Alligator mississippiensis: one gene and its partners. The protein of the gene in region 4 interacts with the protein of the main gene of each other region in a pairwise test. Links are inferred from orthologs where the notes say so. Each region holds a gene or a part of one and is shown on either strand. Other genes may lie near its edges. The genes, in order: STX18, RAN, MPHOSPH6 and nuclear protein 1.

The links.
Region 1: the proteins of nuclear protein 1 (region 4) and STX18 interact in a two-hybrid assay, tested with the Homo sapiens proteins (2 studies listed by BioGRID and IntAct). The link is inferred for Alligator mississippiensis from reciprocal best matches to the Homo sapiens genes NUPR1 and STX18.
Region 2: the proteins of nuclear protein 1 (region 4) and RAN interact in a two-hybrid assay, tested with the Homo sapiens proteins (2 studies listed by BioGRID and IntAct). The link is inferred for Alligator mississippiensis from reciprocal best matches to the Homo sapiens genes NUPR1 and RAN.
Region 3: the proteins of nuclear protein 1 (region 4) and MPHOSPH6 interact in a two-hybrid assay, tested with the Homo sapiens proteins (2 studies listed by BioGRID and IntAct). The link is inferred for Alligator mississippiensis from reciprocal best matches to the Homo sapiens genes NUPR1 and MPHOSPH6.

Annotation. Positions count from the first base shown.
Region 1 is NC_081825.1:28,609,211-28,617,140, reverse strand, and holds the start of STX18 (syntaxin-18), read right to left. Parts: upstream 3,008-7,930; 5' UTR 2,941-3,007; coding exon 2,779-2,940; intron 1-2,778. UniProt on the Homo sapiens protein: Syntaxin that may be involved in targeting and fusion of Golgi-derived retrograde transport vesicles with the ER.
Region 2 is NC_081833.1:9,575,026-9,582,666, reverse strand, and holds the start of RAN (GTP-binding nuclear protein Ran), read right to left. Parts: upstream 3,016-7,641; 5' UTR 2,890-3,015; intron 2,577-2,889; 5' UTR 2,570-2,576; coding exon 2,534-2,569; intron 505-2,533; coding exon 420-504; intron 328-419; coding exon 202-327; intron 1-201. UniProt on the Homo sapiens protein: GTPase involved in nucleocytoplasmic transport, participating both to the import and the export from the nucleus of proteins and RNAs. Switches between a cytoplasmic GDP- and a nuclear GTP-bound state by nucleotide exchange and GTP hydrolysis.
Region 3 is NC_081833.1:70,633,822-70,641,563, forward strand, and holds the start of MPHOSPH6 (M-phase phosphoprotein 6), read right to left. Parts: upstream 3,001-7,742; 5' UTR 2,951-3,000; coding exon 2,894-2,950; intron 1-2,893. UniProt on the Homo sapiens protein: RNA-binding protein that associates with the RNA exosome complex. Involved in the 3'-processing of the 7S pre-RNA to the mature 5.8S rRNA and play a role in recruiting the RNA exosome complex to pre-rRNA; this function may include C1D.
Region 4 is NC_081830.1:821,138-828,718, forward strand, and holds nuclear protein 1, read right to left. Parts: upstream 2,778-7,581; 5' UTR 2,657-2,777; coding exon 2,554-2,656; intron 2,240-2,553; coding exon 2,100-2,239; 3' UTR 2,082-2,099; intron 1,493-2,081; exon of another isoform or gene 1,488-1,492; 3' UTR 517-1,487; downstream 1-516. Other genes in the region: SGF29 (SAGA-associated factor 29), read left to right, coding at 3,461-3,706, 4,194-4,352, 4,596-4,671, 4,954-5,026, 5,124-5,188, 5,699-5,828, 5,919-6,065, 7,205-7,240 and 1 more. UniProt on the Homo sapiens protein: Transcription regulator that converts stress signals into a program of gene expression that empowers cells with resistance to the stress induced by a change in their microenvironment.

The DNA of each region.
Region 1 (7,930 bases), on a different chromosome or scaffold from region 4:
CGCCCCCGGGGGTTACAAGAAATAATGGCCACAAGCTAGCAGAGAGCAGATTTAGACTGGACATTAGGAAGAACTTCTTCACAGTTCGAGTGGCCAAGGTCTGGAACGGGCTGCCAAGGGAGGTGGTGCTCTCCCCTACCCTGGGGGTCTTCAAGAGGAGGTTAGATGAGCATCTAGCTAGGGTCATCTAGACCCAGCACTCTTTCCTGCTTATGCAGGGGGTCAGACTCGATGATCTATGGAGGTCCCTTCCGATCCTAACATCTATGAATCTATGAATCTATGAATCACACACCCGGGCAGGATGTGAGGTGCTGTGGGTCAGGAGTGAGGGGCAGCAGCCAGGCTGAGGGGGCTGTGGTTTGGGGGTGAGGGGAAGACAGACACAGAGACACCACACTGCAGGTAAATCTGTGGAGGGCAAGGGGCATGGGGGAGGGAACGGGCATGGGGGTGGCAGATCGAGGCTCCCATGGTGAGGAAGTGAGTGGGGCAGAGGCATGTGCAGGGGCTGGGGTGAATGGGGCCCCAGGGCTGGGGTGGGTTATGGGACATAGCCACAGCTTGTCCAGAGGCGTGGGGGGGCGCTGCTCCCGCCACTGTGCGCACCCCTGGGGGAAGCATGGGAAGCACGTGCCCCCTGGATTTGTGGCTGGGGTGGAGGTGGGCTGCTGCTATGCGCTGCGCTCCATGCTCTGCTGCCGTTATCCTGGGAGCCATGATACACCATGCTGTGCCTCCTGCTGCCAGCCAGGTAGGGGACACAACATTGCCAGTGCGCAGCTTCTGGGGCAAAGGCAGTGGGGTGCAGAGCTCGTCTGCAGCGGCAACCCGCCTCCACCCCACACATAAATCCGGGGGGCACATGGCCCCTGTGCCACCCCCAGGGTGATTGCAGCAGGAGGAGTCCCCGCCACCCCCAGTTCCCATGGATGAGCCATGGCTCTGCCCCATGACCTGGCCTCAGGGACCCATTCACCCCCGCCCCTGCCCCACTCTCTCCCTCACCATGGGAGCCCCAATCTGTCCCCCTCCTCCCCCTTCACAGACTTGCCTGCTGGGTGCTACTCCACTCTACATGTGGGTGCTACTCCACACGCCACCAAGCTACTTTCCTGGCTGAGTGCAGGCTGCGGCTGCATTTCTGTGTGTGCTTCTCTCCCCTGCTGCAGCTGCCCTGTGGTCCTCTGCTCTGCCACCACTGCCCATGGGGCGGCTTGGAGGCAGCAGTGATGGGAGCAGAGCATAGCCGAGGCGCAGGCTCCAAAACCACGTGCACGATTAACACGTTAAAAAAATTAACACCAACGATTAATGCACTAATCATGATTAACTGACAGCCCTAATTTAAACCAACCTTTTACAGATGTCCCCCGATTTTGTAAACTTCATGTTATGGCGGCCTGACTTGAAAAAGCAGATATCTAATACTTAACACTCAAAATTAGTATATTCTTAGGCCCTTCATCTTTTTATACCCCAGTTCCTCACCTTTAAATGAGGATAATACCTTCAAGTGTTAATGCTTTGTCCTTGCATTCAGATACTGCAGGAACAAGCAGCAAAAAACTAAGCCAATGAGGGAATTAATCATTCTGTCTTTAACACAGGATTTGAATCATGTGCAATAAATACAGCAGGAACCACTCGCTAGACACGAGGCACATTCCCTTTGGTGCCATGAGCAAGGTAGAGTCACATGGGAAGAAGCATGCGATTGCAGTGCACGTGTTGGGGGGGCACACCAGGCCTGCATAGACAACAGCGATCCAATCAGTTGTGATGATTAGCTTTGCAAGGGTGGGTGGGTGGATGGGAAAGTGAGTGTGGTAGGGTGAGTGTGTGGTGGTGGGCGTGTGTGTGTGTGGCAGGGTTTTGTGCATCTGTGTATATACATGTGGCAGGGTTTTGTGCGTGTCTGTGTGTGTGTGTGCAGCAGGGTTTTGTGCGTATGTGTGCATGTGTGGCAAGGTTTTGTGTGTGTCTGTGTGTGTACGTGCACCAAGGTTTTGTGCATGTCTGTATGTGTGCACGTGTCCATGTGTGGCAGGGTGTGTGCTCATGGTAGTCGTGTGCGTGTGGCAGGGATTTGTGCTTGTCTGTGTCTGTGCATGTGTGGCACGATGTGGGGGGGGGTGTGCACATGCATGTGGCAGGGTCTTGTGCCCGTCTGTGTGCGCACGCATGTGGCAGGGTTTGTGCTCGTTTGTGTGTGTGCATGTGTGCAGGGTTTTGTGTGTGTGTGGCAAGGTGTGTGTGCACGCACGCGCATATACAGCAGGGTTTTGTGGGTGAGTGTGCACGGGTGTTGGGTGAGTGCAAAGTGGGATTTTGTGTGTGGCGGGGTGTACGAGTGGCAGTGTGCGCGCAGCGGGGGGTGTGTGTCTGGCGGGCAGGGTGCGCAGTGAGGTTTTGTGCATGTCTGTGTGCGCATGTGTTGCAGGGTGTGTGTGCGCGTGCAGGTGTGGCAGGGTTCTGGGTGTGTGTGTGCGTGGCAGGCAGGGTGCGTGGAGGGGTTTTGTGCATGTCTGCGTGTGCCGGTGTGGCAGGGCTGTGTGTGCAGCCAGACGGTGCGCGGAGAGGTTTCGCGCCCACCCGGTAGGGAGGCGGCCGGGCCGGCGGGGGGCGGGGCAGCAGTGCCAGGTCGCCCCGGTGACGTCACCGCCCCGCCGAGCCCGGTGGCCTCCGCGCCAGGGGCGGGGCCGGGCTTAAAGGGGCCGCGTCCCCATTCCCGCCGCGCCCGGGGGCCCGCGAGGCCCTTTCCCGGCCCGCACTCACCACGTCGCGGGCGCGGGCGGAGAAGTCGCTGCGGGGCCGCGGCCCCCCCCGGCGCAGCAGCTCGTCGCGGGCGCCGTCCCCCGCCGGCAGCCCCAGCGCCTTGTTGCGGGTCTTCACCGTCTTCACGCTGGCCTTGAACAGCAGCGTGATGTCCACGGCCATGGCGGCCCCGCCCGCCGCCGCCGCCGCCGCGCTGGCAGCCGGTGCGCGCCGCACACTCGTCCCCGCGCAACGCCGCCCCGCGCGCCCGTTCCGCCGCCTCGCGCGGCCCCGGCGGGGAGGGGCAGGCACCGCCCCCGGGATCCCGCCCAGCCGGCGCAGGCCCCGCAGCGGCACCCACCCCGCACGGGACCCCCGGGGCGCCGCCCTGGCTAACCAGGCCTCGTCTCATGTCGCGTGCCCCGCTCAGGCCCGGTCCAGCCGCTGCCCCCCCGGCACCAGCAGCCCTCAGGCGGCGGAGCGGCGGGCGAGGCCGCAGGTCCCGGGAGCGAGGGGTATCGGAGAGCCGGCACCGGCAGTGTCTGGGACCCGGAGGCTCGACCCCGGGCTGACTCGAGTGCCCGGCGCTCCGGCTCCTCGGCCGGCGGCGCTCGCACGTCTCCAGCACCAAGCGCCCCGTGCACCCGCGCTGGGCTTTTGGTTTAGATAGCGTATAAAGGGGAAAGGCTGGGGCCTGGCTGCTGCCAGATCATCCTCGGCCATCCTTGCTGGTAGGGCGCTGACCTGGCTGGCAGAGCTGTGCCAGCTGCCTTGAACGACAAGTTCCCTGCAGAGACCATGCCCAGGCCATTTACAGCCAAGCTGCACCAGCCACAGAGGGTGATCTTTTCATGCTCCTGTCCAGCATGACAATGCTACCAGGTTCGGCCAGCAGAGCCACATCCTGAATTTGGGCCTTGCTTGCACTCAAAAGCTTTGCCAGCTTACCGGTACTGGGCAAACACCCTCCTAGTGCAGATGCAGGTGCGTCTATTTGCACAAACATTTTTGTTCAAAGTTTTTTTACTCATTGAAGGTGAATTAAGCTTTATCAGCAAAAGCGCTTTCTGCCTCTATAACTGCCTCTGTACTACAGTCTCTTTTCTTTGGGTTTTTGTTTTTGTTTTTGGGTTTGTTTTTTTTAATCAAATAGCTATGTTACAAATGGAAATCATGTCCCTTGCCCATGCAGTTATGCTAGCAAAACTTTTAAATTGACAGGGTGAGCTGACTAGGGATGGATATCTACCCGTCACTTGTCAGCTGTCCTATTTGTTTATGGCAGACATCACCAGGTGGCGCTGTTGGATATGGTCTTCCCAGTTCTTTTCCTTATCTTGTGAAGAGGTATAAGATTCAGTGTTGGGGATATACGTGGATTAGTGTTGGTTAGTTCAGTGGTGTTCAACAAATGAAGTGTCATGAGGAGTCATCAAGGGGGAAGGAGAATACAAAAGCAGAGACTTGCGATTAACAAAGGGTCCCTCCCTTTTTCCCGTCCCTCCCCATTTTGCTCCCTGAAAGGGGTCCCCATCCCTGGCCCCCGGGAAGGGTCCCGAAGGCCACCATGGACTGAGGGCATACCAGTAGCCCAGCTTGTGCCCACTGGAGGGGCGCTGTGGGCCTCAGCATCCCACTTCCAGACTGCTGACACCCAAGAAAGAGCCTCAGAGTGGAGCCTCCATCCTGACCAGATGTACTTTGATGACAGCCCTAGGACTGGTAGATACAGAATTGTTTGATTGTTGGTATTGATGCTTTTTTGTTCTTACTCTGTATCAATAAATTAGCCTATTATCAACTGGCAGGTGGTGTGGTCGTTCTGAGGGTTGTGCCCGCCCAAAACAAAGGTATAGGTGCTGGGTCAAATCCAGTGTCAACATGGACAAACCCCAGCTCTGCCCTGCACCCTGTCCTGCGCTGGCTGGGCAGTGCCTGCTCCAGCCCCAGGCCCAGCTTCTCTCCCTCTCTCACCACTGGGGCCTTGATCTGTGTTCCCCCTGCCCCCACACCCTTTCCCTCCCCCACCCCTTCTACTGCAACAGACTTACCAGCTGCATGCAGCTCTCCAAGTTGCCGAGCTGTGCTCCTGGCTGCCTATGTGCTGCGCTGTAGCTGCACGCATGCATGGGCATTTATCAGCCAATTTATCAGCCACATCAGGCCAATTTCTGATACACTCAATTTTCTTTATATCGGTGCCGATCTGTTATTGCACCAATGTATCAGTGCACCTCTAATTTGCATGCTGGAATTGAGCCTTGCACACCTTGGCACTTCATGCCAACTGCCCAACCTTACGCACTGAGATTGGACCCCGCATCACTCCTGCATGCCAGGATCAGGACACACATCATCCTTCATGCATGATCTAGTGTGTAGGACTGTGGAGCTTCCCATGGGTTCAGAAATTTGACAGCAGGGGAGTAGGCACCATTTCCGCATCACCAAATTTCCAGATCCATGGGGAGCCGTGCAGGCCAGATGACACAGCTCCAGGCCAGGGCTGAGTACCTCTGGACCTGGCCCACAAGCCAGGGTTGAATACCTCTGGATTAGTCCATTATGGTAGAATTATTATTTGGGAACCAGGCATGGTGTTGGACTGGCCTTGGAAGAAGGAATTGTATGCATGTTCTTCAGGACTATGAATATAGCTGAGAAATAAGTTATGTTTAAAATATTTCCACTGGACTGGATTGGCCTGGAAATCTGATCTGGAGATCTGTTAGCATTCAACAGAAGAGTCACGTTGGTATCAGGATGGTGCAAAAGTAAAATGCCCCATGAATTGCAATATAGTGTTTATAGCAATTTAGTGGGAAGTCAGAAGACTGCTTTAAATAACCTTTGTTATTATTAATATTGCTGGAGCAAATTCATTCCTACCACCACATGAACAAGTAGCTATGCTTTGTATATGAGGATCTTCTAGACCAAGAGCCATATGGATTCTTACCTAGCTGCCACACAGACTCATAGGAGCCCCGAGCAAAAGCTGTGCCATTTGACCCTCCTCCCTTCCCACCCACTCATTGGATGACTTGCAATAACAGCTTGGTTAGAGATTCCCTTCACCTTCACCTTGGTTTTCAGCCTTAATATCAACTCTACTAGCTGTGTATGTGGGTTTTGTAGTTCCAGCCTCCAAGCAATGTTTTTACACTGAAGAGAGAAGGGAGTGTGGAAGTGGTGTATTGCCTGGAATCTCAATGTGTTCTTTAAATTCAGCTCTAATTCCCCAGACCACTTCTGACACAGTCCCACAGGGAGTCCCCTAAGTGTAAAACTTCAACACAGGTGTCAAAATACTGCCTCTCTCCATAGTAAAACTGAACTTAATCCAGGCTCTTCATAGCTGCATAAAAAGAGTCAGGGTTTTTTCTGTTACTAATTACGATCCTGCTTTAGTTTAAAAGTTGAACATAACCCTAACTAAAGCATCATTAGTGCCTCCTCCATAATTATGCTATTAGTAATTTTAGCTATTTTACTTTTCATTCATGTTGTTTTACTTATTACTCTATTTGTCATTCTAGACGGAGGGTTTAGTGTGACACTAATAAGTATTTTCAGTAAAAAAAAGAATATGCAGTTAAAGTCACTGTCCTCGGTGCTGGATTTATAGTGAGAAAATATTTAAGGTATTAATCAGGTGGGTGCCAAGGGAAACTAGATTTATCATTCCATGAATGCTACCGGTATGTGTGTGAACTAGCAGCCAAATGCCTTTAAGAGCAATATAGTATGGGGCTACTTTAGCAAAATATGTATTTAATAAAGCCTGGAATTCACACATGGTATATTAGACATTTTCAGGTATGGTCCTTTAAAATTGCCTGTTTCCACCTTCCTTTGCTTTGCTAAGAATAAAATAAGCATACTTAATGGAATTCCAGAAATGTCTCATTGATCATACTGTCACCCCCAGGACGGAACTCTTTGTAGACATTTTTGACACACAAATCTGCTGTTGCCAAGTTAAGATGCTTCTAATGGGCCATAATTTCTGCCACTTTTTCACTAAATTGTGCCTTCCTACACAAATAGCCCCATTAAAATGAGCAGAACTGCTTACGTTGGGCCACACTATGGAGTCCTTACTTTTATAGACATATTAGCATATTAATATTATTATTGTAAGGACATATTGGTTTAGAGAGCACACAAACACCAGTAGACTCTGCCTATGCCTGAAAAAGGGTGTTTGTGCCCAAAAGCTTGTAAAGAACAATTTTTCAAACTACAGTAAAAGTTGAATTAACTGGCATTTTACCAGCTGGAATACTCTATTATCTGGCATGAGCATCAGGTATTTCTTGAGTGGGGGCAAGGGTAGCAGCTTCCCTCTGTAGGCTGCACAGATGCCATCTGGATAGCTGGACATGGGGGTGGGGAGGAGTTTGTATGTAATGGCCACTGCTGCCATCCACCACCCAACGCTGCTGCCACTGCCATGTGCAAGCCCAGATAACCAAAATTTTTACATAACTGGCACCCTCCTTACCCCACTCATGCCAGATAACAAAGCTTTTACTGTATTTAGTTGGTCTAATAAAAGATACTACATTTACCCAAAGAACTTTGTTTTGCTCTTGTAGAAGAATTTTCACAAAAGATAATCCTATCACAGACTGGGGTTACTTGTGTGAGTAACTGCTCAGCACTATAGAGGAGACATTTGTAGTTTAACTGACATTAAAGTATTACTAAAAAGATAAATAATAGAAATGTTTCTGTGAATTTTTCTTATGCTTCTGGAATCTGATCCAAAGCTCAAGGAAGTCATCCTTTCCACTGATATCAGCAGGCTTTGAATAAGACCTGTTGCTATTTATGTTATTAAGCTGCATCTTTTATGGTTTTAGACTGTGGAAATGTAAAGACCATCCTGTGTTCAGAAACAGCATCTTACTGGTACTTATAGTCATAGCCATAATCACTGCTTTTCTTTATTAGGTACTTTTCAATAAATGGTATACTCTTTGTGATTGGAATGATGCTTATCTATTACTGCTGACAACTGGCTGTTATTTGAGAAATTCCAATAGATGTAGAAGCTAAGGCATAGAGGGTCTTGGCAATGATGGAAACAGAGATTGGCAAAGCAGGTTTCAACAACCAAAGGCAAAATAGGTTTTAAAAGGCATCATATAATTTAGGTCCTGGCACT
Region 2 (7,641 bases), on a different chromosome or scaffold from region 4:
AGCACACTTTCTGGGCAAAGTCTGCCTCGAGAAGTCTTGCACTGTTTTGAAGAGCAAGTCAACTTAAATGCCGTTACTATTATGTCACACCAAATGCATAAGCAATGGTCCACTGCACAAGCAACTTTGCAAAGCTGTCAAAGATGACAAAATACCTAGAAGTCTGCTGCAAAGCTAATGAATAGTGTTTGTAAAACTTACCCTGAATATAGTAGCCATCTCGCAGGCCACCAAACTTCTCCTGGCCAGCCGTGTCCCATACATTAAATTTAATAGGCCCTCTGTTAGTGTGAAACACCAGAGGATGGACTTCAACACCCAGTGTTGCTGCAATAAAACATTTCCACTTTAAAAAGCCTGCCAACAGTGTTTTAAACTAAACTAGCACTAGGATTCTCCATGCAAATGTTTAAACATACCTACATACTTCTTTTCAAATTCACCAGTCAAATGACGTTTTACAAATGTTGTTTTGCCGGTACCACCATCACCAACTAAGACAAGCTGTTGAAAGATTTCAAAACACAGATGAAGGCAACACGTTTTAGGAGCTTCCTGTAAACTACTGAGGCATCAGTCAATTTTAGGTAGTTTTTTTAAAATTACAACTCTAGGCCCTACAAGTTGTTCTAGGCAAGGAAGGTTAGTTAGACACTCACTTAAGGAGCTCCCAAATATGGCCTGACTAATATATTTTACTTCTTAGAATGGCTTTAGTGTTGTGTGCTTGTTACATGAAGTCATATTCTAGTCTTAAATTAGGTTCTGCCACTTATGCATTACTAAGTATCCAAGGGTGACTTGGTGGCAGCCTCTAAGTACTGAAGGGTTGTGCATCATGACCTGGGGGGACACCTGTTCACCAGAGCGCTAGGGATGACAAGATCACAAACTCATGCAAGACCGTTTTAGGCTGGACAGAAGGAAAAACTTATTTACTGCCTGAGCCCCCAAGGCCTGGAATAGACTCCCCCCAGGGTGGTACAAGCACCTACTCTGGACTCTTAAGAAATACTTGGATGCTTATATGCTGGGATCCTTTGACCCCAGCTGACTTCCTGCCCCTTGGGCAGGGGGCTGGACCCAATGATCTTGCAAGGTCCCTTTCAGCCCTAATGTCTATGAAACTCCAGATTAAAGGGCAGACAGGTCAGTGACTAGCACTTCCAAACTATTTTTATTAGCCTGAAGAATGCATGTTAGAACAATTTTTTCTTCTCTTAAAAAAAACAAAAACCAAAACAAAACAAAAAAACCCCAGAAATTGGCTGGGTTCGTCAATGTGGGTTAAGCACTGAAATACTGTAGTGCTAGACTGGTCCGTGTCAGCTATTGTATCTTTTGTTTTAGCTTGAATCATGAAAGGCATCAGGATGAGCTCCATTAACAGACTTCTGGCTTCCACGGCACATCTTAAAATTATTCAGGTTAAAAAGGAACGTAAATCAAGACTTGTCCCATGGAAGGCTACAAAAGCCGTGGAGAGCTTAACTCAAATCGAGATTTTTCCATGGCTTTTACAGCCTTCCGCTGGACATCTTAGTTTTAAAGGTTTATGATAAAAAAAAAAAAAAGTGCGCCAAAAAATCATGGCTTGCCCTGTGGAAGGCCACAAAAAGCTATGGAGAAGTCTTGATTTTCCATTCCTTTTCTAACACTGAAGTTAAAAAGATGACTCGTGTCTCGTGGAAAGCTACAAAAGCCATGATCATCTCCATCGTGTTCCTTTTTTTAAGGTGAACCATTAAAATTAAAGGTCTCCATGGCTTTTGTAGCCTTTCACGAGACATCTTTTTAATTGGCTTGTGTTAAAAAAAGGAACGCGATCAAGACGATCGCGGCTCTTGTACCCTTCTACCAAAGATCTTTAAAATTATTCGGGTTAAAAAAACGTCAATCAAGACCCCTCCATGGCTTTTGTAACCTTCCTCTGGACAAGTCTTGATTCATATTCTTTTTTTCAAAACCACAAACCATTAAAGATGCCCCATGGAAAGCCACAAAAAGCCACGGAGATGTTAAACTTTAACTGATTCGCGTTAAAAAAGGAGCGCGATCAAGACTCCTGCGCCGCTTTCCACAGGGCGCCCCGATGTAAAATGAGGAACGTGATCAAGACTCGTCCGGCAGCTCCAGGATGTCCCTCGAAGGCCGCAAATTGAAAGTGGGTTAGAAAAAGAAACACGATCGGGACTCCTCCGTGGCTTTCGCAGCCTCCCAAGGGGCACCTTAATTTAAAATGGGTTAAAGAAAAAAAAGAAACGCGATTGAGACTCCTCCGCGGCTCGCGCGGGACCTCCCGATTTAAACTCCTCCGGGTTACGAGGAGCGCGACGGAGACGTCTACATCCGGCGAGCCAGGAGCGTGAGGAGCACTGCGGCGTCCCCCCGGCCGCGGATGGAAAACGTGAATGAAAACGAAGAGCTAGGAAAAAGAAAAGAGCCGTACCCCTCCCCCTCCGCCCGAAAAGATAAAAAGCTCAGGGAAGAGAGCAGGTGGCCCCGGGCGGGCGGGGGAGAGGCGGCTCCTTACCTTAAACTGCACTTGGGGCTCTCCCTGGGCGGCCATGCTGGGTCTGCGGGAGGGGACGGAAGCGGAGTGAGGCGGCGGGCGATGGAGGCCCGACCGCGTGCGCCGCGCCCGCCCCTTCCGCCGCGCCTGTCCGGCCGGGCCCATTCATCCTCCTCCCGCCCCACAGCCCGGCAATGGCGGCCGCGCCCCCGCGGGCCTCCCGCCACCATGACTGAGCACAGCACAGCCGTGCCGAGCCGAGCCGCCTTCCCTCCCCCTCCCCCACTCCTCCCCCTCACCGCGGCGCAGGCCGCACTAGGCCCCGCCGCAGCCCCATCCGCGCTCCCGCCCGCCCGCCGCAGGGGGTCGGCCGTTACCTTGCCGAGGCGTCTGTCCGCGGCGCTGGGCTCCGTGACTGGACGCAGGGAAGAAGATGGCGGAAGCGCGATTCAAATACCCGGAGAGCGACGCGGCGCGGACACAGGGCGGGCGAGGGAGGGGCCGCGCTCACGTGACCGGCGCCCGCCCCGCGCATGCGCCGCGCGCCCAGCCCAACCGCCGCCTGGCGCTCGTTGGTCGCGCCCCGCCCCCTTCTCCCCCTCAGTTTTTCCCGCGCGCGGGGAGCCCGCCGTGAAGCCCCCTCAGGGCGGCGGGGTGGGAGAGTACAATCAGTAAAAAGAACTGGATCCTTTCGCCCTCTTATTTCGGCGGGCTCCTCAGACCCCCCCAGTCGTCTCCTCTCATGGCCTCCCTCCTTGTCCTTCAAGATGCTCCTTCAGTCCGTTGTGGTTGTGCCCCCCGTGCTCGTTTGATTTCCCTCCGTTGGGGAAGGGGGGCACGAAGCAATGCAATCGATAGGAGATGTCGCACAACAAGCTAGGGGGGACAGGGCACGAATGACAGGAAACTGAGGGAAAGAGACTGGAAGAATTAGGCTTTGGGTTAGGGGAGGTAAATAAGAGGATGTCAAGGCGTCCGGGTTCGTATGGACAACCGGACGGTCCTCCGCGATGCCACCCTAAACCGAACAGCAGCTCCGTGCGCGGCACCCAGCTTCAAAATGGCTGAAACGGGTTTAAGATTAACCTGGTTGCACGTGGTAACAGATTTAACTGATTCGGGTCAAGTTGGTTTAGGAAACTTTTGTCCCAGAAAACTGAGGGGGGGGGTGCATAACGCCTGCAGGGCACCTAGAGGGGGCAGAGAGACGAGCTTTTCTCCTTGACCCGAGGGCAGCGTTTCAACCGGCGGGACGTGAAGGTCACAGGCGACGTGTAGAGGGTGCACAGGGTGCATGTGCACCCCCTGAGATGGGTGGTGCACCCCTGCGATCGGCTGCCGCCACCGCCGCTAGCAGCACCGGTGGGCAGTCGCTGCCCGCCACCGGCAGCGGCGTCTGTAGGCGGTCGTGGATTGCTATTGGCCGCTGCTGGTGGTGTCTGCGGGTGGTCGCTGGCGGCTGGTCCGTGCTTGCCACCCCCACTGACACTGACACTGCCGCGGCTGCCTGCAGGAGCTCCCTGTGACCGCTGCCCATGTGTAGGTGGGACTTTTCTCAACAAAATTATTGCAATTTTTAATGTCCCTAAAGTGCGTGTAGACGTAAAAATACACTTCTTGGGGAAAAAAAGTGGGGTTTTGTTTTTATCGCGGTGGGACCAGGGTTTTTTGACAAAGTGGTTGGTGGGACGTAAGGTGCAAAATGTTGAGAGCTGCTGCCCTAGGGGACAGGACTGGGAGCAACGCCTCGAAATGCAGCAGGGAAAATGTACAGATTAGTCGGGATTTTCTGGCACTGTGGGTGGCCAAGCACTGGCACAGGCTGCCGAGAGAAATTGTGGCATCTTCATCCTTGGAAGTTTTCAAGGGCAAGTTAGACAGACACTTGGCTGGGATGGTTTAGTCAGGAGTGTTTCTGCTTTGAATAGGAGGCCGGACTAGATGACCTTGTGATGTCCCTTCCAGCCCTACTTTCCTGTGATCCTATGAAGTTTTAAAGTATTTCAGATCCCTTGGGCTGCACAAACATAGTCTGCTACTTCTTATTAACCCTATGATGTTCACTATGTTTAAAATCAAGATCTGAAAAAAGACCTTGCAGTCCGTTGCAGCTTTTGTGTGCTATAAAACTCCACTACGAATGAAAAATATTTCCGTTTTCTTTTGGTAAAATATCACAACTTTACATATTTCTCTTCCCCTGTAATGAGATCATTAAATCAAACCTTTCTTCCGAGAGCTGAGACCATAAAACACATTACTGTAGACTTAAGAGAAGTAGTAGCCCTGTTGGCCTAAAGTCAGGCAGAAGTCAGGGTGGAGATGCACCTTATAAACTAACTGAAGTGTTGCAGCTTTTGACAAGGATACAGATACTTCCAGGAAATATTTTGGTCGATCACTTTATATTGGTTAAAAGCCATTTGTAAGATTCCCCAAATATTGTTCTGAAATAATTAACTGATTTTACTACGGGCATAATAGTCACATTGTAATTAAATAAGCTAGTTAAACTTATTAAATACTTTACAATGCTTTACATATCAAGTGCAGTACTTGATCTTAATTAACAAAATACACAGTAAAAATCACAACTATATTTCTTGGAATAATAAACTGAAAAAAGTAAATGCGACTTCATCCAATCATACAGGTTGAGAGGTAGAGAACACGCAAGACTTGCTGACGAACAGGAAGGGATGTTGTAGCGCGGATTCTAAGGAGCCCCTTTGTCAATGAATAGGAACATAACGTTTCTCCTCATGGATCAGACCTGAGGTTCATCTAGTCTAAAAGGGGCCAATTCCAGACGTCTCAAAGGAATGTATAAAACGATTTTACTGAAAACCCTGGAGGACAGCTGCAGGATAATCTGCCCTTCACATATGAGGTTTCATCCTCTAATATTGATTTAAATCTTAAGGCATAAACATCCCTTCCAAAGTACTTATTATAATTAACTAGCCAATTGCCCATCAAGAATGATGGGGGGGTGGGGCTGGGATGGAGCGCCCTCACCTAACGACCCATGCTGCCACTCTTCTGCGACTTGCAGGGAGCAGGGTGGGAGAGCCAAGGCCAATGCTGTTGCCCTCAGCTCCCCCACCCTCTGTCCAATCCTCGGCATGGCTTTGAAATCATGACAACGCTCCCCCACACTTGGAGCACTCTGATTGGCTGTTTCCATCAGCCAATGCTCCAGGACCATGGTTGTCATGGGTGACTTCAATTACCCAGACATCTCGTGGGAGGATCGCTCAGCAAAATCTGAGCAGTCGCAAAGCTTCCTCTCATGGATGACCTCTACCTGACTCAAGAAGTCTATGGGCCAACGAGAGGCAAAGCGCTGCTCGACCTGGTACTGGCTACTGGGGATGACCTAGTCGGCGACCTAGTGATCGATGGGAAGCTGGGTGACAGCAACCACGAGCTGATCACCTTCACCATCCGTCAAAAAGCTGGCAAGTCAGTCAGCAACACGGAAGTCCTTGACTTCAGGAAGGCCGACTTTGACAAGCTCAGGAGGCTTGCCAGTGAGGCCCTAAGGGACCGTGACCACAGGGAGAGGGGAGTTCAAGAAGAGTGGTTGCTTCTCAAGGGAGCGATCCTCAATGCACAAACTAAGTCTATTCCATCTCGGAGGAAAGGCAGCAAGAGGGCACAGCAGCCCCCCTGGCTCTCCAGGGACCTGGCAGACCTCCTGAGGCTAAAAAGAAAGGCCTACAAAGGATGGAGGATGGGAGTCACCTGCAAGGAGGATTATTCTGCACTGGTCCGGTCCTGCAGGGAGCATACCAGGAAAGCCAAGGCTGCAACTGAACTCCAACTAGCTTCGAGCATCAAGGACAATAAAAAGTCCTTTTTCAGATATGTGGGGAGCCGGAGGAAAAGCAGGGGCAACGTTGGACCCCTGCTGAACCAGATGGGGCAACTGACAACTGATGCCCAGGAAAAAGCCAACCTATTAAATGGGTACTTTGCATCGGTCTTTCAACAGTCCCATGGGACGCCCATGCCCGCTACGGGACAGGGAATTCCGGGTGAGGGTGATCCCCTGCCCTCCATTAATGCTGACCTCATGAAGGAACATCTTGAGAAGCTGGATACCTTCAAGTCAGCCGGCCCTGACAATCTACACCCCAGGGTACTCAAGGAGCTGGCGAGCATCATTGCCCAGCCTCTAGCACGGATCTTTGAAAACTCTCGGCGCTCTGGTGTAGTGCCTGAAGACTGGAAAAAGGCCAATGTGGTGCCTATCTTCAAGAAAAGGAGGAAAGTGGATCCGGCAAACTATAGGCCCATCAGCCTGACTTCTATCCCAGGGAAGATCTTAGAAAAGTTTATTAAGGAGGCCATCCTTAATGGACTGGCCGACGCCAACATCTTAAGGGATAGCCAGCATGGGTTTGTCGCGGGTAGGTCTTGCTTGACCAATCTAATTTCCTTCTACGACCAGGTGACCTATCACCTGGACAAGGGAGAAGAGATTGATGTCCTATATCTTGACTTCAAAAAAGCCTTCGATCTGGTATCTCATGATCACCTCTTGGTGAAACTGGCCAATTGTTGCGTTGGGTCCACCACGATCCACTGGCTGGAAATTTGGCTCCGTGTTCAGACCCAGAGGGTAGTAATCGATGGAAGTCACTCATCATGGTGTCCTGTGACCAGTGGGGTCCCCCAAGGCTCTGTCCTTGGACCCATACTATTCCACATCTTCATTAATGATGTGGACACTGGAGTCAGAAGCGGACTGGCCAAGTTCGCCGATGACACCAAACTTTGGGGCAAAGCATCCACACCAGAAGACAGGCGGGTGATCCAGGCTGACCTGGACAGGCTCAGCAAGTGGGCGGACGAGAATCTGATGGTGTTCAACACCGATAAATGCAAGGTTCTCCACCTTGGGAAGAAAAACCCGCAGCATCCTTATAGGCTTGGCAGTGCTACGCTGGCTAGCACTATGGAAGAAAGAGACTTGGGGGTCATCATTGACCACAAGATGAACATGAGCCTGCAGTGCAATGCTGCAGCTAGTAAAGTGACCAAAACGCTGGCTTGCATCCATAGATGCTTCTCAAGCAAATCCCGGGACGTCATTCTCCCCTTGTACTCGGCCTTGGTGAGGC
Region 3 (7,742 bases), on a different chromosome or scaffold from region 4:
CCTTTTTGGGCAGCTTGCATTCTGTTAAACCACACACATCCGTTTCATTTCTAGTTGCTACTACTCAGACTTTGCAGGGTACTGTTCTCAAGTACCATTTTAGTGAAAGTCCTGAGACCATCTGAAGCTGCCTCCAGGGGGAAGAGCTGTCAAAAACTTTGACAGTTGGGGAAAAATCTACATTTTACAGGCAGCAAATAATCCAGCACTAAGAACTCCTCCACAGCACAAATTCTTCCAGGCAGGAATAAGCAGAATATGCCTCTGATCTTTTCCCAGTTGGACTTGGCCAACAGATATGGCAACAGGCGCCACACTGCACTTAGTGTTTATTAGTGAAATGCCTTAATTATAACATTACTATTGCTACATAGTGTTGCTAGTAGGTGCCTATTACTGTTCAAAAACAGTAACCTTTCACATGGACAGCGCAACTTTTTGCATGGCATAACTGCATTAAACTGAAAAGCCCTTTCAAGTTTCTTCTTGCTATTCAGCTATTAAGGAAGACAGACTGGTCATGGTTTTCTGAGATCTGTTAGTTATGGAAAACAGTTTGCTTTCTTAGCAGAGTTCACTCCACATGGATTACGGGTGGCCAGTCTGTGGCACATTGCAGATCGGTGAGGAATAGGAGGAGCAGATGGGGCAAAAAGCAGTAAGCAAAGCAGCAAATCAGGCAGAGAGGACTGGGCAAGTAAAGGAGCTGATCAGGAAGGGAGGAGCTCAGGGCTGGCAGTAGGAAGCAGAGCAGCAGACTGGGCAGGGGAAGGGGATGGGAGAGGCAGGCCTCCCAAAAAAGGTTGGCTCGCTCCGACAGATGATCGAACGGAGACTGCAAAATTCATCTCGCCACCCTGAAAAGAACAACACAAACCCAAATACAGCGTGGAGACATGGAGCACGTGAGCAAGCCAGTGCAAATGGCACAACTTAAATGAAGCAAACAAGCCATGAAGGCCCTGCTATATGGTCATAAATATTTAATGAATATTTATATTTTTAAAAAATTTATGGCAATTCAACTTCAATGTTGTTCTCCAGAAATAAAGAGATCATCAATCATGCCAGTATGTACTCTACAGAATTATGAGTTGTATTACAAGATGTGAACCAGAGTCCATTAGCCACTGAGCTGAGACTAATTTCACTCTGGACTTGACGTTGGAGTCTCAATTCCAAGGGCACTAGCTAGGTCAGTCTTTTAATAACATCTCTCTTTTGTGCTATATATTTTAGGAATTGGGGAAAATGGTTAAAAAAAAAATAAATCAAGACCACTGTAGGATATTCCACGAGCAATCAAAGTAAAAACAAACAGAAATAACGAAAGCAGGGATAATGCAGAGCTAGGATACACTCCACGCTAAAAAGATTCGCTCCAAATAAGGCACCTAATGGCCTATCTTAAGTTCAAAATGCAATGAAATAAAGAAGTCTAAATATTTCTGTTCATCACAGAGAGGCTGGCAGAGCTCTGACTGCACAGAAACCTCCTGGGGGTTGAAAACAAATTTTCAAACGCGCTTCAGGAAAGAAACCTTACTTTGCTTAGCGTGAGATTTGCCGAGATCACGAAGATAATTTGAAGTATGTTCTTGGACCAAAACAGCAGGCGCCTACAGTTTACAAAACCTCAAGACTTCCTCCGGGAATATAAGGAGGCAGCTATAGAGCGACAAATGCAGATAACATGGCACTTGCGAGTCGACGCCGTTAGCGCTGCTGTTTCATCGGGGTTATTATAGTCGCTCATTTCGTGGCCGCGTCGCCAAACCTCTGTCATTGCTCGAGTCATTACCAGGACAGACCGGTGGGTTTTTAGCCAAATCCCCTAAGGCCATTACTAGCTGGTTTATTATAGTGTACGGATCAAGATGTTTCTAGGGAAGTAGCATTAAAATACTGAAGAGTGCTGGATGCCCCAGCGAGGAAAAGTAAAGGCAAAACAACCTGCCGTTATCGTTGTCTTAAAAGGTCACTTTAAAAACAAATCCAGTATAATTAGAAGTGACCTGAATGGAAACAGATACCACCTCGGTCGTGCGGCCAGGCGAGGACTCCACGTATAAGGAAACGGTAACGCCAAGAAAAATAAAAATAAGGCTCTGTTCACCTCACGGCCGGCGGGGGAAACATGCCAACCGCTGCTGTTGAAGCGCAGCGTTGCTCTCAGCAAGGACACGGCCCGCGGCATTTCCAGGGGTCGGGGCTGGCGCACGTGTGGTTCGGCTACGTCGCCGGGTTTGGTCGCCGGACCACACGCGCTCCAGCCCCGAACTCATCCCGTCTGCGCGACTCGAACACAAATAACAGGCCGATGGGTCAGAACGATATCACCCATCTTCAGTCCTGACCCCGCGCTCGGATCCGCTCGCTTCCCAGCGGAGTCGTGGGTCGGCGGGAAGACGCAAGAGGCCAACAACACCTAACTGGGAGCGAGTCTGACGCCAAGTCCACCCGACACCCGCCGGGGACTGAACGCCCCACGCAGTCAGCACCGCGCAGCTGTGCCCCGGGCGCGAGGGGTGCCGCGTCCGTGCGGCCCCTCGACCGCCGCTCCCCGCCCGCAGCCAGGAGCGCTTTGAAGCCTTCCTGAAGAGGCTCGTGCCCATTTTTTGGGGTTGCTTTTACAAGACATGTCTGCAAGCCGAGTCCACAACCCGCACGTGGCAGACATCCTCCAGATTCGGGTATTTCCACCGTTTTGGTGGCAGGGCTCAGGCGGGAGGACCCCGTGCTGCCATCAGCACGTGGCAGAGCCCCTCACCCTCCGCCTGAGGGGAGGATTTTTCACCCCGTGTTGGAGGAGGAGGAAGGGAGGATCCTTCCACTCCATGTCATGGACACGGTGTCAGTCACAGCGCAGCCAACCCCCGCCATCGCGGCCCACCTTCATGCGCAGCAGGTTCTTAGACAGCCGCGGCTTCCCCTCGCCCGCCATCGCCATGACCGCCGGCCCCGCGCGCAGGCCGCGCCCCGTCCCCGCCCTCGCGTGCGCCGCGGCCCCGCCCGCGCCCCGCCCCGCTCGCACTCCAGCCCCCGGCGCCGCCGCTGCGCCAGGCCGCGGGTCATGATGGAGGACGGGGAGGGGCGGCTCAGCGCTATGATGTTTACAGTGAGCGTCTCAGGATTATGAGCTATGGGGGGGGGGGTTTCAATTATGATTGAAAGAGGAGTTTTAGGTGCGTGAATCATGAGGAGGGGTGATTTATAGCGGGGGTCTCCAAGCCGTGACTCGTAGCGGGGAAGGGTCTCGGGCCGTCGGCGAGGCGGAGCCAAGCCAGCCTGGGGTTGGCTCCCCCCGCCTCCAATTTTATATACTTCGATAATAATTTTATATATAATTTGGCTCCTCGTGTCGCTGATATTCATGAATTTAGACCAACACGGCTACAACCTGAACCCGCGTTCATTCAATGACACCCGGGAAGATTTGTTTCCACCTCCCAGTGCAGTTTTCCACTTTGATTTGTTTGAAAGTATGTTTCCGGGTTAGAGAAAAGCCTCAAGTCGCACATCCTCGCGTGTCCTGAAAATAAAAGCAGACATGTTCTGTATTGATGATTCAAAAAAAAAAAAAAAAAAAAAAGCATCCTGATCTGCGTGACTGAAAGGGTCTGAAAATTAAAAATCGAAGAATTGATTATTTAAAAAAAAAAAAAGGGATCTTTTGTTTTCTCATTTTTTTTGGGCCTGATTCATAATTTTTTTATGAAGCCTGGCAGTACTCCCTTAGGCCGCCAGGCTGAGCCCTTGAGAAGCAGTAGCTTGCAAAAAAAAAATCCTGGAGGAGACTTGTTACCTGACCTCTACATAAGCGAGCGCAGTGGCGTTCAACACATACTCAGCATCTTGATGCTTACTGTTGTAAGTACAAAAGGGGGGAAAAAAAAGAGAACGAGTTTGCTTTGTTTGAAACAGTCAGGACGTGGGGCACAAGATGTCTCTCAGAAGTGTAGCCACATAAGATTTGCAAAGTGCCTGGATGGGGGACCTGAGGACTGTGCACAAAGGTTTGAGTTTTGGCCAGGATTGGAGTGCACAAAATAGGAAGGAAGGGTCAAGGAAGTGTAAAAGGGGTCTTCACAGTGAAAAAGGAGGAGGAAAATAATTATCCACTACCCAGGCGCTTTTTCCTAGGCAACAGAGAAAAGCAGTCTCAAATGAAAAAACAACAGCAACCACTATGATGAGCCAGAGTAGAGCTGGATGTGTATAACCTGCATTTCAAATGTGCTGAGCAGTTGAATTGCAACTCTGCTTTCAAGCTACAAATGCATTTATTTTTTCCAAATGAGAATAGCTCACTCAAGCAAACAAGGGAGGGGAAATCCAAGTAATGAAAGATTCAACAGTAAACAGATAAAACACTTCACTTCTTAGGCGGTGGAGGGTTCTCCCAGGACTGCCAATGTCAAATCAAACTTGTAATTAACATTCTTTAAAAGATAGCCTCCCTTTAAACAACAGGAAAACTGTTAGTTCTTAAATGATCCTAATGAATTGTTTCTGTGCTCAGCTGGGTCCAGTTTGAGACAACGCAGAGGTTACCTACTTGGTAATAGTATTCCTTGACATATAAAGCATGCATTTATATTTCCAAAATTATTGTGATTCGAGTACAATATATGGATTTCAAGCAGAATACTGACCAGTGAATTGATTGGGGTTCCCTTCAAAATACCTTTGAATTCTGGAGTGCCTTTCTTAGGTCTTAGGATATTTTATACTGCTTTTTTGTCCCAGTAAAATTAAAACATTTAAGAGAGCAGAGTCAAGAATTTGTGCAAAACTTTTCAAGTATATTTTACAAGGATATAATGCATGTGCCTTAGAAGAAGGAAATGAAACTTAGAGGTTTAGGTGATGCTGACTTTGCAAACCTTAAAGGATAATGTCCCAAGAACCGTGTGTTGCATACGGCTGTCGTCCCCTAGATGCAGCTGGATCTGCTTAAATGCATCCACCATGTAAAAAACAGAAAATAGCATGAGTGGTAGAGGCCTGAACTTTTGAGACAGAAGGATTTAGCTTTTCTCTCTGTTACTGCCATGAAGTCCTGAGTGACTAATGTATACAGTTTAGTGACAATGAAGAAGAACCTAGTTGGTCAGGGAGTTGTTACACTAGATGTATAAATGCGTAAACTACTAGTCTTTGTTTGCCACGTATTCTGCTATGTACCTAATCTGCAGTAGATTGCAGCTCTCAGTTTGAAAGCTTACCTTGTTAGCTCAGACTCCAGAATCGTTTTTTAGTTTTGGAAGTGCCCACTTCAAGCCCTGGTGTTTGCTGAGATGGCAGTTCGTTATACAGGTACTTCTGAGCCTCATAAACCCCAGTCCTTTCCTTTGCGTATCCCATGGGTGTTAGTGGGAATTTGGGAATAGGACACAAAGATGAGGTATTAAGTCCTATATAGGAGTTAGGTTCATACAGTTATGAGGCCACAGACTCGTAAGTGCAATTTCATATTCTCAAGTGTTCGTGTTGAACCTGAGTTTCATTCTTGATGGTCTCGTGTAACCCTGCACCCTAAGATACGTTTTGAACATCGACACGATCGATCGAACGATCTTTGGCACCAAATGAGGCAAAGTGTCACAAAATGCCAAAGAGATGTGTTTATCTGAGGAAATGTCTGTTCTCTGTCTGGGAAATGCTAGCTTCTAAATGTGTCTGACAGCCCAGATGGTAGGATGGCTATTTATGTGTAAAAAATACAGTAATTCCTCTAGATAGTAGTAGCCTCAGAATAGTAGCTTCTCAATTTCCATGTCTTTCCATAGTCGTGGTGCTCTAAAGGCCTTTTATTCACTTGGCATGTCGATAAACATGGACACTTGGTCCCATGTTGCAATGGATTGACTATTTCCTAATACGAGGAGTCAGAGCAGAGAGACTGGCCAAAGAGCCCTTTGCAAAATATGCATCTCTTTGCGTGCCTTAAAATTATCTAGAGGGCCCTAACTTTCTGGATTTGCCATAATTACAATTAAAAGAGAAAAGGGAAATACTACAATCCAGTTTTAACTATAAAAAAGAAATCCGGCAGTAATGGTGATAGTTTGCAATTTCCCAGGTCAATAAATAGCTCCCTTGACTTTAATAAACATTGATGCTGCAGGCTTGTTCCAGCGTGATTGAACCTTTTTATAGTTCAGCCACTCACATTGTATGAAAGGCTGTTTTTTCTCCTTTTTTTTTTTCCAACAGGGTTGGTTCTGATTGATTAAATTGTCATTTTTTGAGTTAGTTGCTGAATTATAACATGGTATTTTTAACAATGTGATTTGTTTAAAGAGACAGCTTTTTGATATGGCAAACCAGCTGAGAATGTTTAAGAAGTAAAAGGAACTTTGACTCACTCCATGTTCTCAGCCTTTCATCAAAAAAGAACCCCAAAACAACGTGGAAGTTGTGGCACAAATGGAAGGTACACCAGGTTCAAATTCACTACTATATTTCACCATCAGCCTCATTGTTACATAATACTTGTGTACAGTTGCTATTCCATAGTGTCTGAGCACCTCACCATCTTTAACGTGCTTAATCTCTCTCTGGATCAGGGAAGTACTTTTAAGCCACACTTGACAGATGAGCAGTGGAAGCAGGAAGACTTGTTAAAACGCCTTGTCTGGTTGGTGACAAAGCAGAGAAGTGAGCGTAAGAGTATGTCAAACATATGCCGAACGGAGACACTCCACTATGTCCCAGATGTGAAATAGCTGAGCAACCTTAGTTCAGTACATATATCTACTCAGCTGAGTCCAAAGTTAGTACTTTAATCACTTTAATGTTCTACTAGGCAGAAAGTTTCAGCCCAAAATTTCACAATTGAGACAAGTAGGCAAGTATTTCATTTTACGTGGGGAGGACGAAACAAACGAGATGAAAAGATTTCCCCTAGACTGCATTCTGGTCAGTAGCGTTCAGATAGAGAGATTGACTGCATCAGATGGACAAAAAATGTTTTTGCATCAAAAAGATAAGAATTTCTGAACACCTCCATATTCCATTGAATTCACCTACTGGAGAGAGTGTCTGGTGTCTCTTAGACTGTACCTTCTTCTAAAGCAAGCTATCAAAGTTCATCATTTTGGTGCAAAGAAAACCATGTCCATGTGACGCAGACATTTTTTGTTCTCACCACCTGCTACACATTTTCTCCATATGGCTAGCTTTTTTGGTTCCAGGTCTTTGCACAATGTATTTTCCATGGCACCTGATTTATACCAGCGTTCCACGGGCAGAAATGCTGTAAATGCCTAGGATTCAAAATGGCAAAATACTAGTTTGGAATATGTTTGTAAAGAATTGGCAGCAACACTGTCTAGCTACAGCTTGTAACTGGGCATATTCTGCATAGGAGTTACAATGCTCATGGGGGAGAGACAATCTAATGGTTTGAGCAAGGGAGGCCTTAGGTGTCGTTCACCACTATGTTACTTCTTCTGGACTGAAATAATTACTTACAGCACTGAAATCACAATTTTCAAAGGCAGAAAGGAATCTCTACAATAGTAAATTAGTGAATACAAATGCGTTTTAGGCTTCAGACTCTAACTCTGCCATGGATTTGCAATGTCATTTTTTATTATTCCCTTAAACTCACTTTGTCTCAGTTCCATTATATAAACTGAGATATCCATCTAAACACACTGTTTTAAAATCTTTGGGTGAAGCGTGCTCTATAAGTGCACAGAATACATTACCATCATGAAACCACTGTTTTATCA
Region 4 (7,581 bases):
GGTCCTTCAGCCCCATAACCACATGGACTGGGGCCACAAAGCGGGGAGGGGCCAGGAGGAGAGAGGGGGTGATGGGATGGGTCCACCTGACCCATCAATGACCCTTAGGTGATCCCAACAAATGATCCCATCCATAGCTCCACCTACCAATAATGGCAACCCAATCCTAAGCAAGGACACCAAACCTAACCCAGCCAACCAATGACACCAACCCAACTCTAACAAATGACCCCACCCCTAGCCCAACCCAACCCACCGATCTCCTTCCCTCAGGGCCTTCCCCTTCAAACCCTGTACACACATCCCTGGCAGGGAGGGAGTCTAATTAGGGTGACTTCCAAGGTTCGTTAGCAGTAATGAGACAACGGGCATCCGGCCTGTGGGGGGAATAAAGGCATTTGAGTTGACCTCCTGCCAAATGTGTGTGTGTGTAGCCCTCAATTGGGGGGCTAACCCCTCCACTACCCACAATCCCTTGGCCCCTCTCATTCCTGAAGAAGTCTCAAGAAACATGAATTTTCTTCAGAACTCCCCCCCATTTTATTGACTATTTTTCACCCCGCAACAGTGCCGGGGCCAGAGGAGGGGCAGCTACAGAGCTACCCACCCCGTGCCTTTCCTCACCCCTTTTTGACCACTCTGAGCCCCCTGGGACCTGAGGTTCCCCTGTATCCAACATGGCTGCCGAGTCGGGGTGGGTTCACTGGTTGTCCTGGCGATGGTTTCAATATGGCCGCCTAGGCCAAGAGTTTCCACTGGTTGCCTTGGTGATGGTTTCAATGTGGCTGCCTTTTGCAAGGGGTTCCACTGGTTGTCTTGGCAATGGTTTCAATAGGCCGCCTTTGCCAAGGGCTCAAAATGGCTGCCCAGACAAAGGTGTTGAGCATGGTTGCTATGGGCAGGGGGCCAATATGGCCGTCTTGGCAACAAAGTGAACATGGCTGAAATGGGGATGGTTCAGTATGGCTGCCTGGGCAGCGGGGGGGGGAGTGTCAACATGGTCACCATGGTGATGGTATCAATATGACTACCATGAGGAGGGTCAATGGGGTTGCCCAAGAAAGGGGTGGAGTTTGGTTCCTATAGGGGGTGGTCAAAATGGCTACCTTAGCAACAGGGTCACCACGGTTGCCATGGCAATGGGATGAACATGGTTGCCATCAGAGGGGTTCAATATGGCCACCCTGGCAATGGGCCCAAGATGGTGGCTGCAGGGAAAATTCAAAATGGCCATCTTGGTAATGGGGTGTCTAGGACTTCCAAAGGGGGGGTTCAAAATGGCCACCCTGGCAACAGGTTAAACCTGGTTGCCATGGGGGGGTCAAAAGGGTCGCCTTGACAACAGGGTCACTGAGGTCACCGTGGCAATAGCGAGAACATGGCCACCAGGCCCAATGGGTGGCAGCCATCTTGGTGTGTCTGTCCGTGTGTCCGTCTCCGTGTCGCCGTGTGCCATGGGGTCCGGAACCGGGTTCGCTAACGAGGCTCTGAGCTAACGAGGGGGGTGGGGTTAGTGTCGGCCATCTTGTTCCCTGCCATCCCCCATCCAGCCTGGCGTTGTGGCTGGCGGCCATCTTGGGCCCCATTACCACCATTTTGTGCCCACCCCAGTGCTGTTCCCCATTGCTGTGGGTGATGATGGCCATCTTAGCTCCACTGCCATGCCTTATGGTGGCCATCTTGACTCCTGGCCCATGCCTAATGGTGGCCATCTTGGTTATTACTTCCAGCCCCCTGCCATGCCCAAAGGCGGACATATTGACTTCTACTCCCACCTGTTTCCATGCCTAATGGCAGCCATCCTGATGCCTGGCCCGCTTCCCACAGCCTTGCCTTGTGGCAGCCATCTTGCTTGCTGCTCACCTCACTATTTCTGCACCCAGTGGCGGCCATCTTGGTTCCCAACTCTTTCCCCACTGCCGTGCCCAAGAGCTGCCATCTTGGTTCCCGCTCCCATCCCTAATGCCAGGCCCCGTGGCGGCCATCTTGACTCCTGCTCACTCCCCCATTCCCATCCCCCATGGCGGCCATCTCGGTTCACGCCCCGCTCGTTCCTGCGGGCAGCTGCCATCTTGACTCACCTGTGGGCAGGGCTCCGCTCACTCCTTGCCCGCCCGGCGCCGCTCCGATCGCTGCAGCTTGGTGGCCAACTTGCGCTCGTGCCCAGCTGGGCTGGGCCGGTTCGTGTGGGCTGCTGCCTCCCGCTTGGTACGCCCTTTCCGGCCTCTCCCATCAGGCACTGGGATGGCGGGGGGGGGGACACAAATGGGGAGGGGTCAGAGTTGGGTGTCCCCCACTCCCACCCGCAGCTCCCTGCACCAGTGCCCCCGCCCCCGCCCCGCAGCCCCCCACAGCAGTGCCCCCGCTCCCGCCCCGCAGCCCCCCACAGCGGTGCCCCCACTCCTGGGTGCTCTGGGAGGGGAGCGCGGAGCAGAGGGGCGGGAGCCGGACGCCTGGAGCCTGGCTGCCATCTAGTGACTTCGGACTTTATAGCCAGACTTTATAGCCAGGGATCGGGGCAGGGGGGGCCGGGCCCGGACGCTGGGTCCTCACCCGCGTAGCGCTCGGTCAGGCTGTAGTAGTCGCAGGCGTCCAGGTACCGGCCTTCAAAGGGCGTCGGGACCAGGCGGGCGGCATCAAGCCGGGCCGAGGCCATGGCCTATTGCAGGCGGGGTCGGGGGTCCTCGAGCTGGGGGTCCCTGGGGGCGTCGGTCTGTGCAGCAGGGGCTGCGTCCGGCTGTCTCCTGGGGCTGTTTGTGTCTCGCTGGGTCCTGCCCCCCCTTTATAGACCAGGCCCCGCCCCCATTGCATCATCCGTCTCCCCCCCAGGCACCCCCCCCCCCCCCCGTTCCTGCCCCACCCCCAGAACCTTAAAGGCACAGGGGGGCCCCACTGCTGACCTGCATCGCTCCCCACGGCGGTGCCCCCACGCCGAGCCCGCACCCCCCTACGGTGCCCCCACTCCCGCCCGCCCCGCCGGCCCCCGGCCAAGGTACACATGGGGAGAAAAACAACCTCGGGTCACGAGGGGAGACTGAGTCAGGACTCGGCTGAGCCCTCCCCCCCCCCCAGCCCTCCCCCCCCCTTATTGCCAGGCCTGATAGAGAGGCGCCTGAGCTGGGAATCATTAACTGGGTGCCCCCCCCGCAGCCCCTTCTGCCCACAAGAGTTTGTGGGGCTCCCCCATCAGACAACCCAGGGGGCCGGGCTCCCAGAATCCCCTGCTCCCACCCCCCAGGAAAGGGGGGACCCCCCATATTACAGGGGTACGGGGAAGGGGGGGCTATTTTGGGCAGGGTGTCGGCGCAGGATGGGCGATGCTGCACGTGGGGGAGCGGCTGCAGGTCGGGAGTGAGGGGCACCGCTGTTGCTGAGCGCTGGGGGTCGGGGTTTCAGGAGCGGGAGGGGCCGGGGAGCTGAAAACTACAACTCCCAGGAGCCCCGGGGAGACCCCGGCTCTATGGCGCAAGAGACTGGAAGGGCAACATGCGCGATGCGCATGCGCTGTCGTTCTGCGTGGGCCCTGGTGGCACTGTGCGCATGCGCAACCTCAAAGCGCTTCCTCAGGGACTGCAAGTCCCAGGCTGCCTCGCGAGCTTGGCTCCGCGCAAGCGTAGTTGGGCCCCGCCTCCCGCTGCCGCCCTGGGAACGTGGAGCCGCTCCTTCGCCGCCGCTTCAGGTCCGGTCCCGCCCGGAGGGCCCCGCGGTGCGTCTGGGCCTGGGGGCGACCGGGGGGCAGGCAAGCGGGGCCGGAAATGGGCGGTGGGGGGGCGCGAAGGGGGTGTCATGGTAAGCAGGTGAATGCGCATGCGCAGCTTGGAGGGGACGCGGGTGATGGGAGTGCGCATGCGTATTCGGCTTCTTGGACCCCCCCTCCCCCCGGTCCCAGGGCATTGTGGGAGTGTTGCCAACCCCACCAGTCCCGAGGCATTGTGGGAGTATGGACAACCTGCCCTCTGGCCACATGGCATTGTGGGAGTGTGGCCAACTGCTCCCTGTCCCAGGGCATTGTGGGAAAGTAGCAAACCCCCCACTGTGGGAGCATGTCCTTGACTCCCCCTCAGCCCCAAGGCATTGTGGGAGAGTAGCTTACTGGCACCGCAGCCCCAGGGCATTGTGGGAGATAGGCCATAAGTCCCCCCTCCAGCCCCAAGGCATTGTGGGAGCGTGAGCAACTCTCCTCCCCACCGCAGGGCATTGTGGGAATCCAGCTAGCCGCCCCCCCGACTAAACCTTCCCGCCGGGCGCCCCGCAGGCCCCGCCCTCTCCCGGCGGCCATGGCGCTGGTGTCGGCCGACTCGCGCATCGCGGAGCTGCTGGGGGAGCTGCACCAGCTCATCAAGCAGACCCAGGTGAGCTTCCCAGCATCCTCTGGGGTGGCGGGGGCCTTTCCCAGCATCCTCTGGGGTGGGGGGGGCCTTTCCCAGCATCCTCTGGGGCAGGCGGTGTGCGGCCGCCTCCCTGGGGCAGGCAGAGGAAGGAGCTGGGGGGCAGGGGGAGGTGTGTGGGGAGGGTTGTCCTATCCCCGCCTCCTACGGGCTACCCCAGAGGCTGCTGGCGAGGGGGCGGAGCCCTGGTAACCCCGCCCCCCGCAGGAGGAGCGTTCCCGCAGCGAGCACAACCTGGTGAACATCCAGAAGACCCACGAGCGGATGCAAACGGAGAATAAGAGTGAGACCCCCGCCCCGCACGCCTGGGTGCTTCCCAGAATCCCCCAGGGGTGGGGGTGGGGGTGGGGGAGGGGTTACAGCCCAGCCCGGACCCCTGGGTTTCTCCTTCGATGGGTCTGGCCCTGGACGCCTGGGTTTGATCTCCGATTGCGGGGGGGAGACGGAGCCTGTACGCCAGGGTTCAGCGTAACACGAGGTGGGGGGGCGGGCCCCCGGGTTCAATCAAGTATTGGGGGGGGCCGGACGCCTGGGTTCTGAACTGCACCCCCCCACCCCCCTGCAGTCTCCCCCTATTACCGCACCAAGCTGCGGGGGCTTTACACCACGGCCAAGGCGGATGCAGAGGCTGAGTGCAAGTAAGTTTGCCTCCCCTTGCCCCACCCCCACCCCAAATCCCCCCCCCCCCACTAGCGGTCACTAATGTCCCCCCTTTCTGCCCCCCCTCCCACACAGCATCCTGCGCAAGGCACTGGACAAGATCGCCGAGATCAAGTCCTTGCTGGAGGAGAGACGCATTGGTAAGCAATACCTAATCCCCTCCTCTCCCCCGGGACTCCCAGAATCCCCTGGGGCCTGACAAGAAGTGGTTGGACAGGGGCATTCTCCCCCGGGGCTAGTGGGGGTCTCTGGAGGGTATAGAAGCCTGGAACTCCCAGTATCCCTTGGGACCTGATACCTCCCAGAATCCCCTGGGGTCTGACAAGGGGACACAGACTTCCCAGCATCCCCTGGGACCTCAGCTGTAGGGGTCTCTGGGGGAACTGCCAGAATCCCTTGAGGTCTTGGGGTCTCCAGGGTGGGAGAGGGCCTGGGATATCCAAAAATTCTTTGGGGAGGGACAGGGGATGCGGGGTGGCTGGGCACAGACCTCCCAGAAACCCCTGGGGATATTGTGGGGGTCTCCCAGAAGCCCCTGGTACATAGGTCTCTCCACCGGCCCTGTTTCCCACAGTCCTGTGCAACGTGGATATCCAGGGACGGGGAGGACCCAGAAACCTCACTCTTTTCTTTTGCCCTCCCCACAACAGCGGCGAAGATCGCGGGACTCTACAACGACTCGGAGCCGCCACGTAAGACCATGCGCCGGGGGGTCCTCATGACCCTCCTCCAGCAATCGGCCATGACGCTGCCTCTCTGGATTGGAAAGCCCGGCGAGAAGTGAGCCCCCCACCTCTTGCTGCTTCCCCCTGCCCTGGGGGGCGGGGTTCATAGCCCTCCCCCACACCCCTAACTGCCCCCTGCTTGCAGGCCCCCACCTTTGTGCGGCGCCATCCCAGCTGCCAGTGACTACGTAGCCAAGCCCGGGGACAAGGTGGCCGCCCGGGTCAAAGCTGTGGACGGGGATGAGCAGTGGATCCTGGCAGAGGTTGTTAGTTACAGCCACGCCACCAACAAGTGAGTGGAGGGGAGTCCAAGATGTCCACCATGGGGTGGGACTTGCCAGCCTGGCTGCCAGGATGGCGAGGGAGGGGGGTTGGAGGGCTTCCAATATGGTTGCCAGGTCCAGGGCCCATCCAATATGGGCACCAGGGTGAAGGAGGACGGATTGGAAGACTTCTAATATGGCTGCCAGGGTGATGGCTCCTCCAAGATAGTCACTCTAGGCAGCCATGGGGGGTGGGGCGGGGGGAGGGATGACACTATGATACTGGGTGTCCTAGGGGCCACTCTAGCCAGCCAAGAGGGAACGGCATCTCTATTACCTCACTAGGGGGTTCCTCTGGCTGGGCAAAATGGTGACTCTATGGTGCTGGACCCCCCCTCCTCCCCCGGGGGCCCCTCTAGCCATCCAGGAGGGCAATTCTGTGGTCCCCCGATGACCTCGGGCCCACTAGCCAGCCAAGATGGTGATTATCTGGTGCTGGAACACCCACCCCCGGGTCCACTCTAGCTAGCTAGAGGGAAGTCTCTGTGGCCCCTGCACCCCGAAGGGGCATTCTAGACAGTCAGTGTGGGGCAGCTCTGACCCTGGCGCTTCAGGAGTCGGCTGTAGCAGGGCTCTCTCTATGACCCCAGTTTTCTAGGAGGCCAGTCTAGGCAGCTAAGGTGGGTGACTCTATGGTACTATGGTCCTCCCAGGGGACACTCTAGGCAGTCAAGAAGGGCTGAGACTCCAGGGGCACATTCTAGCCAGCCAGAAGGGCTGTCTCTATGCTAGCACTTCCAGGGGACCACTCCCCAGTTAAGGTGGATGATTATGGTAATAGGACCCGCCCCCCCCCGGGCCACTAGCCAGCTAAGGAGGCTGTGTCTATGGTTCTGGGTCCTCAACAGCCCGCTGCAGCCAGCCAGAAGGGCTGTCCTTATAGCCCTGGCATGCCAGAAGGCCACTCTAGCCAGTTAAGATGGCTGACTATGGTATTAGAACCCCCAGGGGCCACTCTAGGCAGACAAGGAGGCTGGCTCTATGGTGCTAGGTCCCCCAGGGGCCCATTCTAACTAGCCAGAAAGGCTGTCTCTGTGACCCTGGCCCTTCGGAGGGGGGGCCTCTATCCAGCTAAAGAAGGCAACTCTATGGTTCTCCTTGTCCACAGGTATGAGGTGGATGACATTGATGAAGAAGGAAAGGAGTAAGTGACTCCTCCAAAAGTGGGGAGGGGCGGGGGCAGGGCCTACCTTGGCCTGACCCTGCCCCCTTTTGCCTGCCCTGCCCCGCCCCGCCCCCACAGACGTCACACGCTGAGCCGACGACGCATCATCCCGCTGCCGCAGTGGAAGGCCAATCCGGAGACGGACCCTGAGGCCCTATTCCAGAAGGACCAGCTGGTGCTGGCGCTCTACCCCCAGACCACGTGCTTCTACCGTGCCCTGATCCATGGGCCCCCCACCCGGGTAGGTACCCCCCATCCCAGGGACTGCCTGTTAGGTTGGCCGGAGGAGCCGTGGCAAAATGGCCGCCCTGTTGGCACTA